4 linked regions of the Drosophila melanogaster genome follow. Changing the gene in region 4 together with the main gene of any one other region gives a genetic interaction. Each region holds a gene or a part of one and is shown on either strand. Other genes may lie near its edges. The genes, in order: bowl, drk, 14-3-3zeta and tor.

What was found.
Region 1: of tor (region 4) and bowl, changing one suppresses a phenotype caused by changing the other (phenotypic suppression), as found in Drosophila melanogaster (2 studies listed by BioGRID).
Region 2: of tor (region 4) and drk, changing one suppresses a phenotype caused by changing the other (phenotypic suppression), as found in Drosophila melanogaster (2 studies listed by BioGRID).
Region 3: of tor (region 4) and 14-3-3zeta, changing one suppresses a phenotype caused by changing the other (phenotypic suppression), as found in Drosophila melanogaster (2 studies listed by BioGRID).

Annotation. Positions count from the first base shown.
Region 1 is NT_033779.5:3,769,787-3,774,741, forward strand, and holds the start of bowl (brother of odd with entrails limited), read left to right. Parts: upstream 1-1,913; 5' UTR 1,914-2,087; intron 2,088-2,133; exon of another isoform or gene 2,134-2,229; intron 2,230-2,239; exon of another isoform or gene 2,240-2,530; intron 2,531-2,674; 5' UTR 2,675-2,908; intron 2,909-4,955. UniProt on the Drosophila melanogaster protein: Putative transcription factor. Required for leg joint formation, acting downstream of Notch to pattern the leg tarsal segments. Functions in the terminal pathway during embryogenesis, acting downstream of tll in the posterior of the embryo.
Region 2 is NT_033778.4:13,499,823-13,504,844, forward strand, and holds the start of drk (downstream of receptor kinase), read right to left. Parts: upstream 3,020-5,022; 5' UTR 2,869-3,019; exon of another isoform or gene 2,103-2,868; 5' UTR 2,069-2,102; coding exon 1,991-2,068; exon of another isoform or gene 1,652-1,990; intron 1,187-1,651; exon of another isoform or gene 799-1,186; intron 1-798. Other genes in the region: mars, read left to right, coding at 3,214-4,720, 4,778-5,022.
Region 3 is NT_033778.4:10,097,879-10,102,724, reverse strand, and holds the start of 14-3-3zeta (14-3-3zeta), read right to left. Parts: upstream 3,049-4,846; 5' UTR 2,987-3,048; exon of another isoform or gene 2,875-2,986; intron 1,690-2,874; exon of another isoform or gene 1,548-1,689; intron 1-1,547. Other genes in the region: RpLP0-like (ribosomal protein LP0-like), read left to right, coding at 3,239-3,266, 3,332-3,579, 3,640-4,134; Jra (Jun-related antigen), read right to left, coding at 4,589-4,846. UniProt on the Drosophila melanogaster protein: Required in Raf-dependent cell proliferation and photoreceptor differentiation during eye development. Acts upstream of Raf and downstream of Ras, and is essential for viability.
Region 4 is NT_033778.4:7,704,660-7,710,933, forward strand, and holds tor (torso), read right to left. Parts: upstream 4,526-6,274; 5' UTR 4,287-4,525; coding exon 4,134-4,286; intron 4,067-4,133; coding exon 3,836-4,066; intron 3,684-3,835; coding exon 3,446-3,683; intron 3,386-3,445; coding exon 3,303-3,385; intron 3,247-3,302; coding exon 3,078-3,246; intron 3,010-3,077; coding exon 2,704-3,009; intron 2,648-2,703; coding exon 2,312-2,647; intron 2,255-2,311; coding exon 2,083-2,254; intron 2,022-2,082; coding exon 1,523-2,021; intron 1,456-1,522; coding exon 1,361-1,455; intron 1,308-1,360; coding exon 1,185-1,307; intron 1,125-1,184; coding exon 987-1,124; intron 931-986; coding exon 757-930; intron 699-756; coding exon 644-698; 3' UTR 524-643; downstream 1-523. Other genes in the region: CG34216 (uncharacterized protein), read right to left, coding at 1-278; CG1941 (uncharacterized protein), read left to right, coding at 5,857-5,985, 6,037-6,134, 6,190-6,274. UniProt on the Drosophila melanogaster protein: Probable receptor tyrosine kinase which is required for determination of anterior and posterior terminal structures in the embryo.

The sequences.
Region 1 (4,955 bases), on a different chromosome or scaffold from region 4:
AAGTAATTTATTTTAAAATCGTAAAGCGATGCAAAATATGCAAGGAGGGAAGCCACTTCAACCGACGGGCACTCAGAAAAATCACAACGATCTTATGGTTCGCATTAGCATATATATCTTATTTGTACATCTTTATTTTAAGCAAAAAGAGCAAGGTAAGGGTTAGATATTAGATATTATTATTAAACAATAGTCAATTTCAATTTTATGTATTGTGGAATCCAATTATAAGGGAGACCAATTATGGTAATTATTTATTTTATTTCTTATTTACTTATTGTTATTTATATATGCTGAAAATTATTTTCCGAGTGCAGCAAGAGCAACAGTTGTTGATGGGGGAAGTCGACGACGACTAGCATAACAATTCGCTCGCCCTATGAGGCAGCTACCGTTTTTCCGTCTTCTCTTTTCTACCACTTATTTCTGGTCTTCTGCCTGTTGCCGCTTTGTATCTCCATTTCCACTTACTGTTTTTGCAGTGGCAGCAGCCACAATTTAGTTCCACTGTGCAGCACCTTAATTACATGGCTACGGACTCTCTTTTGTTGGGTACTTTTCGGGTTTTTCTTTTCTGCATCTCGGAATCATTACGACCATGATCACCGTCGTGGCCGAAACGTAACTCCCTCTACTTTTGGGACCCTAGCTGATTTTTGGTCTTTTTGTTAACGTCTTTTCTTTTACCACTTGACCGCATTGATGCTGCATTGCGAGCAGAGGTTGCCAGATTGTTAGAATAGAAATTTTACAGTCTATTATAATAATATAAGACCTATTTACATAGCCTAGCTCGAATCAATCATTTACCTATGTTTTATTTTTTTCCAAGTTCCCGTGCTCGCCTTCTTTTATAAGGACTAATTACCATTAATAAAAGTCAGTCTGGCGATAAGATGGTTTCTAGACTTATATTGTTTTACGACCTATTTCCATAAATGAATTGTATAACTCGGCTGCCGATTAATCATCAGTGTATATTTAAATACATATGTATAAATATTTTTCCCTAAAGCTACCAACTAATTATTCCAAATAAATATTTACTTATCAGTAGAACATTGGAACTTGTCATAATATAGATATATAGTCGTGTGAGTAATGCACTTTATTTCACCCCAACTTTCGACTTGGCAACCCCTTCTTCGAAGAAACCTTATCACCTTGCCTCCCTAAAAATGCTTTCTGATTAGTCATTCCCCTAAATGAAACCGCAACAAAAGCCGAAGAACAAAATACACCCCCACTAAAAAGGCATAACAATAAACAGGGAACTACCAGAGTTACACCCTCCTCCTCCTTTTCGGGTGAAGCCACCATAACGATCCATGGGCAGCAGCAGCAACGGCAATCTGGCAACACCCGGGCCAATTGTACCCTACCCTCTCGACTGGGCCAAAAAAAAAAAAGCAGTCGGTGGTAGTCGGTAGTCGGTCGGTAAACAGGTAGCGCTCTAACTGACAATAACTCGTCGTACGAATGCACGTTCCACGCTCCGCCAGTGCCAGTCTCCATATAAGTCCGTCCACGGGCCCATCCGTCCATTTAGCAGCGTGCGACTGGCGGCCGGTTGGGTTTGGGTTGAGTTCGGTTTAATTCCTCTCCTCCACTGAAAGAAATGTCGTACTATATTCAAACTGAATATAAGTTACTAGTTAATTCAGAAAAATATGTAAATGCATCCATTATTTATCTAGTATATTTAAGCAGATAGATTTATACTGTTGTTATTTACAGAAAATTAGAGCCTTACTCTTCAGATATTTAAGAATTGTTAAAACTTTTTCCACAGTGCACTAAGCTGGTTTTAGTGCCACTGCTCGCTACTCGTCGCTTGTCTCTTTCTACGCATTTCTCAGCCCGCGATTCTCTCGATTCTCTCTTTTTCCATTCGGGCCCTGTTTCTTGGGTTCGTGGCTCAGTCTTCGAGAGTTGATCGTGGCCAACGCACCTGCGCGCGGATCGCTGGTAATAGCTGTTGGAAAAGTGAACTGCATTGTGAGTGCCTCTCGCTCTATATCTATCTGTATCTTTCGCCGCCGATGTATCTTATTGAGCGGGCCCAGAGCGCTAGTGTGTGTGTGTGTGTGAGTGAACTTGTTGCATCGCCAGTTGCCTCGAGAAAAGCGCTTTTCAACTGCAACTGACTCTGTGTGTGGGAAGAGTTTGGGACTACTTGAGGAGCGAATTGGTAGCTGCACTGGCTTCAGCTCCTATTTCAAACAAAATGTAGAAAAACACATTTCAGCTGCCGTGTATCTCTCGTTCTCGTTCGGTTTTCAGTTCGTTGAGGTTGAGGTTTCGGTTCGGGTTTTTCTTCGTTCGGTTTTCATATCTGTGAGATACAAATACATCGTGTGTTTGTGCGCGAGTTGTACGTGGATTTTGGAAGGAAAAAAACTACGTGGTTTGTGGTAGCTGACTGCCGTTGATGCTGCTGCTGCTCCCGTAACCGCCCCCCTGCCGCCCCCTCAGCCCCACCCCCTGGGGCGATCGTGCCGTGATTTGAATCTCAAAATTGTCCCTTAGTGTGCGTGTTTTTTTAAATACATTTACTTGAGAATGATTCGGTGAAATACTTGTTAAAATTAAAATCAAACCTGAAAATATAACAAAAAATTTCCGACAAATATTTTGAAAATTTTAATAAAATTATTTACTTTTAAATTCACAGAATCGTATTAACAGAAGTCTTCAAACAAATACAACAAGAAAAAACAACATACAATTCAAGTGCCACTTAAATGATATAAATTACTACTTTAAAAACCAAAAACAATGCCAAGCATTTCAAAGCTTACAAACTGACAAAAAACCAGCAAAATCATATTGAAACAACTACTTGGATACTTTAGGACGCAAAGATAAAGCCCAAAGAGCCTGGGGCTTTCTTCTGTTTAACCCACAGGTAAGATTCCGCCGAGAACAGGCCCTGCCTTCCCAGATGAACACAAAAATTCCACACCACTTATTTTTACTTGTTTTATTTTTTGTTGTTTTTTTTTTTGTTTTCTGTTTGTGGCGTAGGGCTAGCTAATTACGTTTATTATTTTTTTATTTTGGTATTTTTTGCGTTGGCCAAAAAGGCAGCGAGTACAAAAATATAACGAGTACGCAGACAGAGAAGGAGAGAGAGAGAAAGACCCAAGATATATCTCAAAACCTGCTCCACAAATAGAATGAGACGGGGCGAAAAAACAGGAAAGAGAGCGCAACAACGTTGGCGGTTGGCGGACTGTCGACCGACAAGCGGCTTCCACTACAACTGCATGTGCCACTGTCATTGCCACTGAACTCAGTGTGGTGCCGCACAGTCCACGGTGGAGTACGTCCCCCATCCCCCCGCAAACTTCCCCACCATCCTGAACCACCCGCTTGCCCCATTGTTGTTGCTGTGGCGCTCAGTTCGAGTTGGTCGGTTCGAGCCGGACTCGAAAAACCTTCGCTTGGAATTCTGGGGGTCTCTTATGGGTGCTCTTGGTAAGGGTACTTCGTTTGAAAATGGTGTACACAATTTGTAAAATATTATTTAAAAATATTAATCGGTGTTAATAACGTTACATTTCTGAAAAACTTTAATTTTACAGAATTTCAAAGCATCGCGTTAGGTTTTAAAAATATATTTTACGAAATTTAGGCAAACTTAGTTTAATAAGCTGATAGTTTATAAGCTTCTTATTTATTCCAGTGTTTTTTTTTCAACAAGTCTACTCTAGTTTGATCTATAGTATTATTTACTTATTTTGCCTAGGGTATTAAGTGCATCGGCTTTATAGATCGTGATTTTTCACATGTTTCTTTCATTTCTGTTTCTTTTCTTTGTAAACCAGTTCACTTGTAGCCAGTGCCAGTGGCCAGTGGTCGCTCTCGCCGTCTTTTTCGCTCCTTCTCGGCTTGGAATCCGGTTTTTTTGGTTTTCTGTTTTCGGTTTTCGGTCGTGGTCGCTGTCTTAACTTGGCTCGATTCAGATTCGGAGCTCGGCTGGGGCTTTAATTGTCCAGAACGTGTGGCCAAAGAGGAAACGCAATTGCCGCAAGCTTCTGTTGGGTTCAGATACCGATTCGGATTCGGATTCAGCCTCAACCTCAGACCATCATCATCATCGTCATCTACATCTCTTGATTTCTTTTAAATGCTTTACTTTTTCCTTCATTTTTAAGCTTTTTTTTTGTAGAACGCCTCCCGCGCTCTCACAGTCTGAGTTATTATTATTTTTTTTTTGTATTTTTTGGTTGCGGTTCTATAAAGTTATTGGCTTTTGTTTCGCCTCAGTGGAGATCTATTTTGGATATTCATTGTCTTGCTTTATGGGCCATTTGGTTTTGTGTCCAAAAAGAGTTTTAGCATAAGAAAGGGAGTACCATAAAAGTTTATTACGCTTTACCTCTTTGGGTGGGTTTTCCTCTCCATCTTGGGCCACCAACTATCATTTTTCGGTTGCACCAGCAGCAGGGGAAAATGTTGCTGGTAATTGCCTTGTGGCAGGAAAATTGAAATCGAAATTAATTAAAATCGTGACAAAATACTTGATGAATTTAGATTTACCATAAAACCGCAGAACAATGGCTCGTTAGGGATCGCCATATTCGGGTTTTAAATTGAAATGGCTATATGGACACGCCTCGTTTTGGCACGTGTGTATAATTCACCTGATAGACCAGTTCATTTATTGTTGTTCTGGAACGGGAACTCATCAATTTTGATGGGGAAATTAGATGTTGTCTAGGGAATATGAATTTTTAATGCTATCAATGAAATCAGACAGCGGAAAGGTGATTATCAGTTTACATGTTTAGTTTTGGGCTGGGTTCCAAAAGTTGTCGAAGAAAAAAATATATAAATAATTTGTACCAAGATTTGTGTGCAATTAGCATAATCCAATTGCATTTGAATTAATAAATCATAGTCTTAGTGCTTCTACACTTATTAGCATAAACTCTTCCAATAAATAAGAA
Region 2 (5,022 bases), 5.8 Mb from region 4:
CAATGTGCAATGTGCCTGTTGGATAATGCATAAATATTTAGCGGCGCTTTCGGAAGGCAGGCACGTAGTGGCCATGATTGTTATTATCAATTGTTTATACTCGTATGCTTATGTAATTACTAGAGAAAAAATTCTATTGTCGTTTCGGAAATCCGACGCTGAAAAAAGTGTCAAAGCAACACGAACGTTCACTTTTCGCTGTTTTCGCGACAAGCGAAAGTTGAGCACAGAATCCCATTTCGTGTGTTTCACATTGTTATGATAAAACGTGGCCACTTTTGGTGCCCACACAACAAGGCCGTTAGAATTGGAGGCATTTTTTTTTTTGGAAAATGGAGCTCCAAATATCCAAGAAATACGCTGACCTGTAAACCAGTTTTCTGGAAAGAGAACGAACCCCAATGAAATGTTTGATGATTCACAGCGCTCCTCTCTCTATCGCCTTCTATGCCTGCTGTATGTTTGCTGGATTGGGGCATCTTTTCAGATAAGGCTATCGAGAAGTGACTAATCGCTGGCAAACAAACAAATGCGCTGGGAGTTCGAACAGATATGCGTAACATACATATCTCCAATGCGAGATAATCGTGTATTTCTATTTATCCCCCGCATCAATGGAGCCCAGAACTATGGGCTATTAAACGAACTATGACTATCAGTGCGGATTGTTTACCCATTGATAAGACCGTGCAGCTGGACAGAGGGCTCATCTACGGCGTAGAAGCCCCTCTAATGGACGGGAGCAGCGCACACACTTGACCTTCGGGCGGCGATAAAGAAGCCTCTTCGGCGAGTCATTGACACCATCAATCAGCAGCAGCGGCAGCAGCAGCAACAAATGCTGCAAATGCAGCGGCGGCATATGGAAAAGAGGCGCAAAAAAAAGAGGCACAAAAAGGGAGAAAACCTGCCACGGGCCTGGGTTCCTGCTGTGACTAACCTACGACAAGGTAGACACACAGCAACGAAAATCAGCTTACATCGCGCCCTGGCAACAAGAAACCGGAAAATTCGCCAGCCAAAACAAAGGGTTTGGCCTAGGACAGCCAGCCAGCCAGCCATCGAGCCAGTGAGCCAACACAAACACAAACACCTGGAAGGAAGCAAGGCGGCGAAAAAGATCGAATCGCAGCCTGCCAGCAGCCTTTTTCTTGGCCAGAAAAGCCAGCGAATACAAGCAACACGGGTAAGCATCGGATGTCCCCCACAAAGTTCCGCAAAGTCAAAGGGGGCATCGAATATATCATCACTACAAACTGTTGGAATTGTTTTTCTAAGCATTCGGAAGAAAACGAATAAGGAAAGTTGAAATAGTATATATACTATAGGAATGCTAACAATAAATAAGTTCATTCAAGGAAACACAGTGAAAAATGCTAGATTTGCAAAGTATAGTATATAGATTAAATCATATATGCATGTTTATAGCTTTAGAAACCCCCTCCTCACATCATTTTTTAAACTTACTTTGTAATGCTAATCACAACTATATGCAGATTAAATGGGGTCAAAAATATGGTCTTGATAGATTTGAAGTGCAGTTGAGAAATGAAAAAATGTAGAGTAGAATGTACAATATTTCAGTATGTGATGCTTCACAAGGATTTTGTACTGATAGTGGAATATATTTGACTGAATCTTTTCGTTCTAGTAAGAGTATTCGGGCTGCGGTGGCTAATGAGTCGTAATCCTTTCGTGTTGCCTTCTGCGAATGCACCTTTTGAAACTCTTTAGCCAGCTTTTGCGACTGCTGTCTGTTTGGTCGCGATTTAGTAACAAAATCTGTCTGGGGATTGAACCTAGGATGTGGGTTAAGGCAACGACCTGGACGGCGGCAGCTGCATCGCAGCGGATTATGCATGCAGGACCTGCCACGTCCCCCTGTGCACCCCCTTACACCCTTGCGTGCCCCCATTCAGTGTGAAGTCTATGAATAAATGCAGATATTATGATTTGAGGTGGGAATTGATGATTTTGGAACAGCACTCACCTTTAGAATCTGAGTTTTGCGAAAACTCAGCTCGTCGTCAGCCGTCGCAGAGAAATCGTGTTTGGCAATCGCTTCCATTTTGCTGTGTTGTTTTGTGCGCAGTTAGAAAACGCTTTCGGAGTTTGTTTTAAAATTTAGTTGCAATTGTAGTTTTGGATTTAGTTCTATCAGCCTTGATGCACCACACACACGCACACACAGAGGCACAGACACACACGCTCGTTCTCTGCTCTTTCTCTCTAACTCTCTTTGAATTTCTCTCTCACTCACTACTCAGTGCTGTGGAAATGAAAACGAAACGAGACGAATCCGCGATTAGTTAGCGCACATTATATAAACGATAAATCATGGATATTCGGCAGTGCGCTTTTCTCAGTTCGGTTAATAATAATATATCTTGTGCGAAGGCAAGGGAAGAAAGCGATTAAAAATACACCGACGACGACGACATTCCCAGGCGGAGCAGCAACAGAGAATGAACACAGACACGAGCCGCTCTCTCCACGGCGGCCACTGTGTGGGTGTGTGTGCGTGAGCGTGGCAGCGTTGCCAGCAGCTTGCGATTTGGAATTTCGGGGAAAAGCAGGTACCGCAAAAGCAATTAGACGATGTTTGGCTATTACTTGTTGTTATGCGAAGTAATTTGCCTTAAATAATATGAAATGTGTCGCTTAGAACACAATTAACATTTGGCAATCTAGGGCGTGGGTGCTTGCTGTTGGCAATGCTGCCGCGGTGACGTTGTTGTTTGTTTTATTTTTTGTAACCCCAATAAACACACACACACACACACACGCGGCGCTTATATTTCTATATGCGTAAGTTGCGGCTAACTATTTTCGAGTCTCTGGCACGTGCAAAGAGGCCGCCGGGCTTACAATTTCAAAGGGCTAGGGTGGCTGCAAGCTTAAGCGACACTAATTAGGCGCGGGAGCGGTTTGGCTAACATATTACTACTGCTAAATTTGTAATTCACTTTTATTTTCATAGCAGCGTGACCGTGGCCGGGTCGCTTTATTATTCCAAGAAAATATACTGAACACAACACTGTGGGAGAGGCATACCGCAGGGCTTTCGTAGTTTTCCTTCACCTGGTCACACCGCAAGACGCTTCGCCATTTTAAAAATCAAAACAGGAGACGCTTCGCCGGAAAAGTCAGCATTACGTTTCATTCCCAACCGGACACTTCAGTTTGACTCGCCCATCCGTCACAGCAGTCGCCATGCAGCGCCACAAGGAACTGTACAAGGAGCAATCGCTGGTGCTGAGTCCGCGCAATCACTGCCAGGAGAACAGGGATCGGTTGCAGGCGGCGCGCGCCAAAAAACGAGAGGATTGTTTTTATCAGAACCGCATCATCAGCGTGAGCCCGACGCCCGTCAAAATAAAGCAATTGGCGGCGGCCCAAGCTGCTCTGACCCAGGAAAATGTGGCACCCAAACTGGAGAGTCCGGAGCGGCTGGACACGAAGCCCGCAGAACTGCTGAAGGAATCCAACCCGAAGGTCTCCCGCCAGAAGCTCTACTTACAACGCTACATGGAGTGGAAGATAGCCAAGACCAAGGAGCATAAGCAGCAAGACCAGAAACGTCGAGGCGCAGCCATCAATGTGCCGACAGTAAAACAATCAAAGGCCTTGCCCAAATCACAAACATTTCGGGTTCCCGATAATCTGGCTTCTGCAAAGCAGAAGGAGGCGGCTCCCATGTTCCAGCCTCCCAAGCGGTGTTCTCTCTACATGATTGCCAATCCGACGGGCAAGGGAAAAGCCGCAGAACCGATTAAACCTTCAATACCCAAGCCAACGTCAGCAGCAGCTCCTCCGTCATCCAATACCGTGGCTGCATCTTCCGCCTTGGCCAGGCATAAATCAGCTGCTTCTGCAACAAAAATAGTGCCTGCAATTCGTCAGAACAACAATCCAGTGGCCTTGGCCAGGCAAAAAGCAGCTGCACGACCCATTCCCAACACAACGAAGCAAACTACCAGTGTAAGGCAGCCTGGGATTGAAGCGAAAAAGATCACTACCACCATACCCAGACCCACCCCAGCGACAGTCACGAAAGCGAAAACGCCAGGCATACGACAACAGCCACCAGTGGTCAGCACAAAGCCAAGATTACCTGAGCCGCCAGCGCCACGGACAGCTAGACTGCCCAATGTGTTGTCCAAGCCGTTCGAGAAACCTTTAGGAAACAAGGCACCAGTGACACGACGGGCGAATGTCGTGAAACCACAGCCTATACGTGGCGGAGGTGGTGCCGCGGCCAAGTTCAAGGACACAGCTGGAGCGACCAGCAAGGCAGCAAGTCACTCCATACGAATGAAGGCCACCAAGATAAAGAGCCAGTACACGAGGCTTCAGGACAACGTGCGAAAGCTTCCTCAGCTCAAAGCCGAGTTGCTGCACGCAGCCACGCTAGATATACCGCCTCTCACGCCGCTAGACGATATCCATAATCCCTTTATCGACCAGGCCACATCAACGCAGTGCAAGTCGAACAATAGCAGCGGTCATCTTTTGGAGGCGTTTGGCGACACCATCTTGTTGAGCCCGGTGGCACCGGTCAAAGCTGAAGGAGAAAGTTCGGTGAAAAGGCAGTTGCTGCCGGAAGGTAAGAAAGAGGCGTCAGGTCCGGTGGCAAAGAAAAAGTTCGACTTTACGCGTTACTCAGTGGCGAATTCGCCGGCGGAGGACTCGCTCATCTTGGATCCTCAGCAGACGACGGGTGAGTTTGGGATACGCCTTCTCCAATCTTAAACTCAAACTCACATTTTCCTTTCAGTTAAAGAAGACACTGGAGATTCCACTTTGGTGCCAGAGGGTACAAAGACACCGCCACGTCGCGAATCCAATGGAATGCCCAACTATCTCAGTCCGTTTGTTAGTGTCTCGCGGGGAAAGGTGAACTCGCGCTGTGAGAAGGAGAAACGCAATAGCTTCTACCTGTCCAATGAGGAATCGCCCTTGGAAGTTCGCCGTGCCATTGAATCGGTTCTGTACTTCCGACTGCAGCTGGAAAACGAGATC
Region 3 (4,846 bases), 2.4 Mb from region 4:
GCGACCGCTGAATAGTTGCTACATTGAAATGGTTAGGTGAAAAATAGTCTCCAAAATGTTTGAAACCCCATACAAATGTTCTTTACTGAAGCTAACAACTAGTTTCAAAGACCCAGTAACATTGGCAGAAGCAATTATAAATGCTGATTTCTGCGCAGTTGCCTAAAAACCAACCAATTGAAGTTTAAACCATATGAAAACAGCTATTATTTGTGTTGCGACCGACCGCCAAATTGAAAAAGCATTGACCCTTTGTCAAAACAAAAAGGGCGGCGGGGCGTGGCGTAGCAAAAATATGGAAGGGGGAGGGTGCGGTGCGGTCTCCCGACGCGTTTTTAGGTCAATTGGCATGTTTTCTGCCTGTGCTCGGTAAATGCCAAAACATTAAGCCAGGCGTAACGTAAATTAACGTAACACTCCCCTAAATGGTCACAAATATGTTTGTAGTTTTTATCGGATAAATCAAAGGAGGAAAAACTTGTTTCAACCACGCAGATTGCTCATCTGCCTGAATGAATAAATTGGTAAATAGGGGGAAAAACAGGTGGGAGGTGGGTATCTCGAAGTTATAGATACGTAGACCTTAGAGGACGGTTTAACACCCATATGGTCAGGCTAATTTCGGGGCTAGAAAATCCTGCGAAATCCGTGTCGGATGGATACTTGGTACTTTAAACCTTATCTGCGCCGGCCGACAGCATGCGCAGTAGCTCAAGAACCCCCCCCCCCCCCCCAAACCCCCCGAGACCGAGCCGAGCAAGAACCCAATCCCCGATGATGTAGAAATTCCTCTACACTGTAGATACCGCTACTGCGGCTCTACATGGGGCGAAAAAGTTACTAACTTTTATTGGGGCTGTGTGCGTGCGACTCTGCGTGTGTCGGTGCGTTCTGGGTGGTGGTGGTAATGGTGGTGCGGATGGGTGAGATGGTGTTGGTGGGGCCGCCAATCGTGTTTCCAAGTGCGGCGCTACAAAATTATAAAAATAATCGGGAGAAAGGAGGAGCGAGGTGGGAGGGAGGGAGAGAGCGGAGAACGCCGCAGAGAGAGGCCGAAATGTATCTACCACAGGCGGCCGCCAAGTGTGTTGAGTTTGGCGAGGAAACCCACCTAACCGCGTGTCCCCATCCAAGTATCAACTTGGATATATATATATATATATCTATCTTGGCGTACTGTGTGTACATATAGCTGGCTATATAAGCGTAAATATAGAAGTCGGCTATGTCCGCCGCCTACAACTTAACCGATGAACTGCTGATGATGATGAGAAATACGAAGCTACAAGCGAATCTCACCGCATCACATACATGCACCAATACTCGGGCAACTCGGGAATGTTCTTTTCTTTCATTTTCTTTTCTTTTCCTTATTTTGCACAAATTTACACTTTATTCTTTTGCGTAGATTTTTTTTTTTTGGCTTCGGATCGATGTCTGATTTATGTATTTCGATTTTTCTGCGGGACGAAGTATAGATGCATGTAAGTGATTGCTCATAGGCGGCATTACACGTGTTTTTTCTTCGGATATTTTAGCAATTTTACGTTTTATAATTCCATACACACACTGGCAGGCGCACACACATAGGTACAAGGCACTCTGGGCCAGCAAAAATGTTACTTACATTCTCGATTAACTGAAACTGAAACGACAACGAACACTACCAACGAACGAATGAGAATGACGGACGGCAAAGGTTGCACACATTCGCCGCGCCGCTGTATCTGTGTTTCTGCGCTCTCTCCCCACGCACACTCTAGCAGGGGCACATGCGCCGCCGCAGAATGAGAGGGAGCATATGGGGCTGGCTCAGGCGAGAGCGAGAAAGTGCGACAAGTGAGAGAGTTTCAGGGTTGCCAACCTGCTGTATAAATTAATGTTGCCAGGTGTGCAGGTAAAACTTGGAAACCAAACTTTCAGATAAAATATACTAATTAATAGGCGTCTCAGAACTTGTAGATAGAGAGCTTTAAAATGAGCCAGCTTTTATTGTCAAGTCTTTGTGTTATCATCGTTTTATGAAGTAATAGTTTATAGTTCGTTTCCAACCTGTTGAAACTTTCGAGCGCTTATCTCGCTGCCAGATTACGCTTTTATCTTGACTTTATGGCCTCCGCAAGGAGGAAACTAATCGGGAGATGTATGCCATTGATAAGGGGGTGGCGGTAAATTGCCTTAATTCTAATTTGGATTTCATTGAATTGGTGCACTCACACATAAAAACGAGATATCCACGTACTTATGATTTTCGTGAGGTGAGGCAGGGCCTACGATTGTGGGCCGGAAGTTAAGGCGAGGATTTAACAATCAATTTCTAGTTCTAATTATACTTAGTCCTGTCAATATGGGATAATTCGACAAAATTAGAGTATATTCTTTTGAGTCTTCTTCTATTGTTAATTATACAATAAGAAAATATATTTAATATTCTATGATGTTTTTGTATTACATTAAGCATAATGTTCAAGTCATTAAAAAAAAAAAACGGTAATTAGGTGTACGAGGAATTTTCTAAATAATCGTGTAAGTGTATTGCAATTCAACTCGTGCGTGGCGAAGACATGCTCACGCGCTCATCTCTACATTTTACTACAGCTCACAAAGAACAAGACGGAAAAAATTACGTCATCGGCGTCCTATTTGGTTGCGGTAATGAAAAATTGCTACGTCCATTTCCAATTGTAATGGGATTTTCGCAAGGCCAGTACCGCACGCAATCAAATGCGGAGAGCCCAAGGGGCAGGTGGCATCCAATTAGGAGGCCAACGGAATCGATAAAGTGCGTGGGCGCACTTATTCGGGGAAAATTTTATCCGCCGACAATATGGCGGTCGCAAGCCGACACACGACGCACTAGGTGAAACTACTTACTGCGCCTGGGTTTTCAAGCGAATATCGAATATATGCGTAATCCTTGGGCTCTCAGCACACGACTTTTAACTTAGTTTTAAACGAGCAAGCACTTATTAATTAGTTAATTCACCTCTTACGGCTCGGACGTGAAGGTTCTTCTTCTTCTCTACGCGCAGATGTGTTGGAAAACGAGGAAAGCTGAAGTAGGGATTGGCCCGCAGGAATTTTCCAACCCGCACGGTGCGAAATTCCGATACACGATAGAGCTATCGATTGTTGGTTAGGAACATTTACCATCTCTAGAAGGCCGCACGTGTTTACGTTCGGTGGGAAATATTCTTGGTTTCTGTTAAGAAAACGTTGCTATTTAAAGGCTACAGATATGCCGCGCTCCAAACGTGATAAGAAAGGTGAGAGTTTCGGCTTTAATATATACGATTTGTACTTATAACGTGCGATACTCTTCTTCCCTTAGTTTCCCTGACCAAAACCGACCGCAAGGGTCTGGCTTGGAAACAGCGCATTGTGGACGACATTCGGTTCTGCGTGGGCAAATACCCAAATATATTCGTTTTCCAAGTTCAGAACATGAGGAATAGCTTGCTGAAGGATCTGCGACAGGAGTTGAAAAAGAATTCTCGTTTTATCTTTGGCAAGAATCGTGTTATGCAGATTGGCTTGGGTCGCACGAAGAGCGAGGAAGTGGAGCCGGAATTGCACAAGGTAATTAAGTTTAAGTGGATTAACATATATCAGACACTAATCACAGGCTATGTCTATTAGCTATCCAAGCGATTAACTGGCCAGGTGGGACTGCTTTTCACGGACAAATCCAAGGAGGAAGTCCTGGAGTGGGCAGAAAACTACTGGGCCGTGGAATACGCACGCAGTGGCTTTGTGGCCACGGAAACGGTTACCCTGCCAGCAGGTCCCCTAGAGGACTTCGCCCACTCTATGGAACCGCATCTGCGTTCCCTGGGCCTGCCCACCAAATTGGAGAAGGGAATCGTTACGCTGTACAGTGACTACACGGTTTGTGAGGAGGGCAAAGTTCTAACACCCGAACAGGCGAGAATCCTCAAGCTGGTGGGCAAGCCCATGGCCAAATTTCGGCTGACCATGAAGTGCTCGTGGACAAAAAGCGAAGGCTTCCAGCTGCATGTCGAGGATGATGTGAACGACGAGGAACAGGCTGATAGCGCAATGGAAGAGGAGGCCGAGGCCGAGGCCATGGATGACAACGACGACGATGATGACGAAGAGGAGGATGATGAATAAATAAGTTTAAGGCGTAGAAATAATTTTTTTATGTATATATCAAGTGCAGAAAATATACGTATATTTTAAAAGTACATTACATATTATCTTACGTTCAACACAGATAATACTTGATTAACACTAGCTTATACTAATAACTAAGTAAACAAAACACTTAAGAAGCATTTCAGATATTGCAGCTAAAACCAAAGAAAGGCACAAAGCCTCAGGTTGCGTCGTCCGCGAGGATGTAGAGCACCAGAGGCTGTTCGTTATCGCTCTCCTCCTCCAGGAGTTCGCTGTTAGTTAGGGAAATATCCTGAGAGGCCGAGCCCTCCAGCTCCAAGGCACCGGTGCTAGCACTTGAAAAGAATTCCAGAGGCATGGGTTGCTCGGGATCTTCAGGATTCGAGGGGGTTTCAGTCTCCAGTGCCACGTCCTCCTCATCATTCTCCCCGGCTGACAACTCCAAATGTTATTGGTCTGTCGAGTTCGGCGGCACCGTGCAGCCCGCGGCAATGTGCTCCATCACCTGCTGCTTCAGCTGCGCCACATGGTCCTTGAGGTTCTTCACGATGCTAGCCAGGTCGACGTTCTCGCCCTTAAGTACCTTCACGCGATCCTCCAGCTTTGAGATGCGCTCCAACTTGCGCTTGCGGCACTTGGATGCAGCCACACGGTTACGCTGCCTCTTGCGCTCCAGCTTGATCTTCTCCTGCGCTTCCATGTCAAT
Region 4 (6,274 bases):
AGGCGAAGCAAAATATAATGAGCTGCCTCTGGAGATCGACATAATCTTTTTGCCAAGGCAAATATGACCCGTCGATTGAGGTCCAGCCAGCGCGGTGGCAAGGTGTCGCAGGGATCGGGGGTTGGCTCCCGATCCGGACCTCTTATGAAAGGATTCTCGGCGAGGGGCCGACTGCCCAGTGGACAGCAGCTGGAGATGGTGCGCACCGGGCAGTGTGGACAGCTGTAGGGAATCGGTGGACATGGTGTCCGGCGGAGGCGACAGCAGTGGATGCACATCGATCGAGGTGGCCAGAAGTAGAATTGAAACACTGTAAACAAGCCAGCTTGGACCGACTTTCAATTTGGAATTTTCAAAAATGATGCTGATTGGGGTCCAAATAAACGACCTTCTTTCGAAACCTAAGCCGCAAGGAGGCACAAACATTTTGAAATGGTCGGTTTCTATGAGACATAAAGGGCACTGCTAGAAGTTTACTCTATAAATATCTTGGTTTTTCTTATAAAAAAGAAATTAAATTTTTCTTAGGCTAGCTTTAATGTTTATTGCTATGCAAGGTTATCTGGCGCATAGCATTGTCTGAATTGGAACTCGAATTTAGAATGTATTGCACTCGTTCATTATAATCTTGAAGCAATGACTATTAATTCAAAGGTTCTAGGTATAGCTCTTCCTCGCATGGCACTTGCTCCACTTTACTAAATTGTAAAAGGTAAGAAAGTAACGTATACAATTGTCTTTTTAAAGATTACTTACCTGTTTAGACCGTCACATGACTTTAATTTTGACTCGGTTGCAGCTTGCAGTTGTTTCAGCCTTTCTGGAACATCGTTAGTGGCCAAAATCATGCCACCAAGTCTGTGTTTAAGGGCGGAAAATGTTGGCCTGTGTGATGGCACGGAGCTCCAGCAGCTTTCCATCAGGGAAAACCTGAGTTAAGCAAATGTGATCAACAATTATGTACTTCGCTAAGCACTGATACCCACATTTCTTGCGTACATCCCTCCGGTCGCTTCATCCGATGACCTTGTCGCAGTAGCTGCAAGAGATCACTGGGAGACACCGACGGATATGGCATTCCACCGAGAGTGGTGATCTCATAGAGCAGCACACCAAAGGACCAACTAAGAGGGTAAGATATCAGCCACAAAATCGCTTCGGACTTAACAAAAATATATACTTACACATCGCTCTGACTGGTGTACACCTGGTGGGTGAGGGACTCCAGCGCGAGCCACTTGATGGGCAGCTTGCCACTTCCTCCGGACTTTCGGTACACGTTCTCATGATACACATCTCGACTCAGCCTTAAAAAAAAAAACACAATATAACTAATCATTGAACTTTCAGAGATACCCACCCAAAATCTGCTATCTTGATGCTGCGATCTACGGAGATTAGAACATTCCGGGCAGCCAGATCCCTATGCACTACTTTGTTTTGGGCCAGAAATTCCTAAAATGGCAAATGATACATGCTACACTTTTTAATTACATTTAGGGATAGAGTAGATGTAGGCTACCATTCCCACCGCCACCTGTTGGGCGATGTCTAGCAAATCTGCATATTTCAGTGGTATTCGGGGCTTGGTATCCGATGAGTCGAGGCAATCAAAGTATTCCTTGTTCTCAAAGATTCGCTTCTTGTTGTCCGATTTGAAATCCTGCTTCGAGTCTTTCTTGGGCTGCGGCTTCAGCTTCCGTTTTGGCCGATCCTTTGGAGCTTCAGCGGTTTTGGGAATGTAACTCCCACCGATGTTTTCAATGTCCTCCAGGCCATAGCCCTTGTTGTCGGCTGCATTGGTTATTCGAGTGAGGGTGTAGGTCTCACATCGACTTGAGTGTGTCTGATCCGATTCACTCTCCTCTTCCACAGTGGACAGCATCGAGTTGTTGATATCCTCTATGCGATCATGGATGGAATTTCTAGGGAGTCGGTTAAACCGTCGGTTGTCCACGTTCTGTTCAAGGTTCTTCTTAAGTCCAATTGCATTTTGCTCCTGCCTGAACTTCCACTCCTCACTAAGTAATACATTTTTTACTATACATCACTTGTTTTCCAATATGTATAAAAATAACTTACCGTAAAAAGTTCTGCAGGCTTCCAAGGCTGCAGTATTCAATTAGCAACATCATCTGGTTGCTAAAACGAGTGGAGTATCCCACGATACCCACAATATTTGGATGCTTGCCCACGGCCTTGAGCATCTGAATTTCGCACTTGAACGCATATACGTCCTCGTCGTTTGGTTCATCTGTGAGAACAAAAATTCCATGAATTATTCAAGAACTTCAATACCAAATGGTACAACCTTTCAGCAACTTGACGGCCACTTGGCGTTTCTTGTAAACTCCACGTCGCACCAAGCCAAAGGCTCCTTCGCCGAGGACATCCTGAAGGAGCACCGAGTGTGGCTCCACCTCCAGCTCGTCCATTACTTCCAGACTCTCGTTGGCCGAGAGGGTGACCAGCAGGCCACTGCTGTCCATCAGGGAGAGATGAAATTCACTGGCCTTCGCGTCCTTAGCGTCCATTTGCAGCGCCTGAACCTCCGAACGATTTCGTCTGCAGAACGTCAGGGAGCACAGCATCAAAATGCAGCATATGGGCACGATAATAAAGAGTACCAACTTGACCATGTTGCCCTCTGTTCAATGGATGGAAATGGATGTCTAAATATTTAATTTCCTTCAGCGTACGTACCGCTCAGCAACACACCTCGATGAACCTTGTCCAACGTCAAACCGGATACGTTTTTTCCGCCTGCCGACTGGGCCACCAAATGTACTTCGAAATGGGAACCCAGTACCGTGATCTTGGGTACATAGAAGTGGCTCCTGTTTTGGTCAAGTGTATAGTTTAGCTCCGTACCTCCTTTGAATAGATCAAAGATGTGAAGTGTATAGTTATCCGGCAGGTATCTGGGACGCGCCCAGGTGATGTTCAGGGCCAAAATATTTGGCAGATACTGCTTCTGGGTCACAGTAAGATTCTCTGGCTTATGGGGTGCTATGAAAGGGTGGAACAATATTATTATTATTAATATTATTATTATATAGGACTTTCGAGGAACCTACGGCAGAGTGTGTAGTTATAGGGATACCAATCCAAGCAGCTTGGAACAGCGATTGGCAGCCACTGCAGATCGCTCTCCAGTCGATTCATTATGTTCACCGTTCTTACGCCAACGTGATACTGTTTGTCAAACTCCAAGTTGTCCACCGTGTGCCTGTACAGCTTTTTGCGCTGCAGTAAAAGATTAGCTATGCTCTAGCATTGCAGGGGCGTCATGGCATACTCACATCCCGGAACTGCACCTCCAGTGGCTCGTCCATATTCACGCTGTTGGTTGAATACGACACCATGTCGAAATAGCAGTTGCTCTCTGGAATATGAAAGTAGGGTTCGTAGATCGTTGATTGATTAAACTGATGGAGCTACTTACCCGCCGATGGCTTCCACTCGATTTCGGCAGCAATGTGATGCAGGTCGTCTGGTTGGGGGACAAACCGCAGCAGATTCACCGCTCCCATTTTGCTGGGCTGATAGCCTCGGATGAGGGTGGCGAAGGTCTGGTCCTTTGCTATCAAGGAGTAGCTGCCATCTCCGTGCATCGCCAGGGCGGTGATGTTGTGGGTAGAGTTGGACTCCAATCCCGGCAGGATGAGAAAGTTGTCATCAGACTGCAAGCGAATAAGTCGATGAAAAAGAGCGATCCACTTGTAAAACGAAACATTAGGTCTTGATGACTACATAGTACATCTTTTTCTAGAAATTCATCAAATAAAATGGTATTTTAAAGTAAATAGTAATGAGTTTACATCTAATATCTGACCAGGTAAAGCGCAGTTTCTTTGTTGTCGTCCTTGACAGCATCCACCCGGATTATGTAGGTGGCATTTGGAGCCGGCTCGGTTCCCCTGCTGTGCTGCACCCAATCTATTTGGAAAACGATTTCCGACTCCGTGCGGCAGATCATGTTCATCTGGTAGTTTTCCTGCACCTTGCGCAGAGCCCCGGGAAATGTTCCATTAATCCTGCAGTCCTTTAAACAGCTTCGGAAATCCTGTCGAGAAAAGAAGCATGCACTTTTGGTTATGGAGTGTTCCAACATTCTAAGGGTGTAAACATACCATCTGGCCCTTTTCCAGACAATTCTGGGTGCAAGCGGTGACGTTGAGAAGCGTCTTATCGTGAGAGATTTTGTCCATTAGCAACATTTCACCTTGATTGCTTCCCACGAAAAACCAGAAGATAAATGCGTACTTCGCGTAGAAAATAAGCATTTTCCTTGTTCTGCTTTTGAAACCCTTCTTTAGTTCTTCGTTGTGTGTCGGTGTGTGTGTGTTGGAATGAAATGTGTATTTGTTTAAAACCGACTTAAAGTTTATTGCACTTTTGCCACCACGCACTTTGATACAAAACTCAATAACACACACAGCAAATTCGAATACTTAGTTTCTAGATTCCAACTTTCGAGATCAATACCATCCGTCCTTCTCGGATTATCTTGCTGAACTGAGAAAGAACTGAGAAACTGAGGCCAAAAATGCGATGGTAAAAAAGCGACGAAGAAGGAGGAATGATGAGAAGCGGCGGACTCGTTGAATATATTTTGCGCTATTTTGTTTTGATTTGTTTTTCACCTCTTCACTGCATCGTATTGTACTTGATCGTATGGATGGGATTGGACTAGGGGTCATTTGAAATGCAAAAATTTGGATCGCTACTCCGTCATAGTAGCGCCAGGGCTTGGGATAAGCATAGAACATTGACTTCAGATAACTCTTCGCAATTTTCATTTGTGATACCACCAACAACGTTTGTATTTCAATCTTCTATGATCTGTTGCGCCAAAAGAGCTTGTATTGCAGCAAACCGATAAATCAGAATGCAGTGCTGGTCGCTTCCATCCCTAGAAACCATGTTGGGCGCCAATATTCGAAATTAACCAAAAAACAACTATGCTAATTTCGCCCACATTGTAGCTTTTGCGTGATCACACTTTCCCTGATTCCATTTCAATTGGAACAGAGCTGACAATACAGGTATTTCCTTATAGCGACTTGCAAATGCACATGACCTCAGTTGCCTCTGATTCAGGTTATTCGTATAGAACGCTCGATTACATTGGTGACTCAATTGTTGCATCGCATTCGAGTACTCGAAACACTCACATGGGAAACTCGAGCATTCAGTGCCACTCGCAAGTTTAGTTAAATGTTGTACGCTCGCATCGTCGGTTCTGCTGCTCAAACGCGATAACGATCCATTACGTGTGTAAACATTAATAATAAATTTCTATGGGAGCGTCTAGTTTATTAAAGCTCTACAAGTTTAAAATAATTAGCCTGTGATACTAGGCCAAAGCGGATCGGATCAAAAGCAATACGAGTAACTCCCAGTTAGTTTTATCACCATTCAATTAAAGTGAGGAGGTTGTCGTGCAACAGCAGTTTCGTTCTCTTTCTAAAGGCATTCAAACCAGTTGCAATTGAAATTTCAAAACAATAATTATATATATGTGATCACAAGTATCGGACAAACGTTAAAGCCGGCTGTTGTTGGCAATGATAAGATCATATCATATAATATCATATCGGCATTCTAGCCAGACGTCCATATAGAGCAAGTCATTATCTTGATTGCTCGAATTTTTAAACACCCCAAGCGAATAGCCATTAAATCGAAGGTATTTTTTTAACAACTCTAACCAATAGCCACGCACTCGCGCCACCGACGGATACTGATAAGGATAAGAAATGGTAACTAAACATTGAACATTTCCATTTTTCAGTCGCCGGAGGACCGTGCTACCAAGTAGTTCAACTTTCCGAGTTCGAGAGCTCTGACATCATGAAAATCGAGTGGGCTCCCAAAGGAGTTCCCATGGAACGGCGTCGCCAGACGTTTGCCATGGCCTTCCTAATCCTATCCTTTATGATACTCTCCTTTGGATCCTATTTCTTCGTTGCTGCCGTGCTGGTAAATACATCAGTGCTTCAATATTTTGAAAAGTAAAGCATTCCCTTCCAGTTCTATGGAAGCCTTTTGTGGCGCACCATTATGGTCATCTATTTGGTCTACGTCTACGCGAATCACAAGAGAACCCACTCCATTATGGATGGCAATGGGTAGGCGTCATGAAGTCCCTATAAGAACACTTAAAGCTAAAATAATCCATTTTAGCTGGAAAATTAACCGCAACAATTGGCTGTTTCGGCATTATCGGGACTACTTTCCCGTACAGCTGGTCAAGACCGCAGAGCTGCCG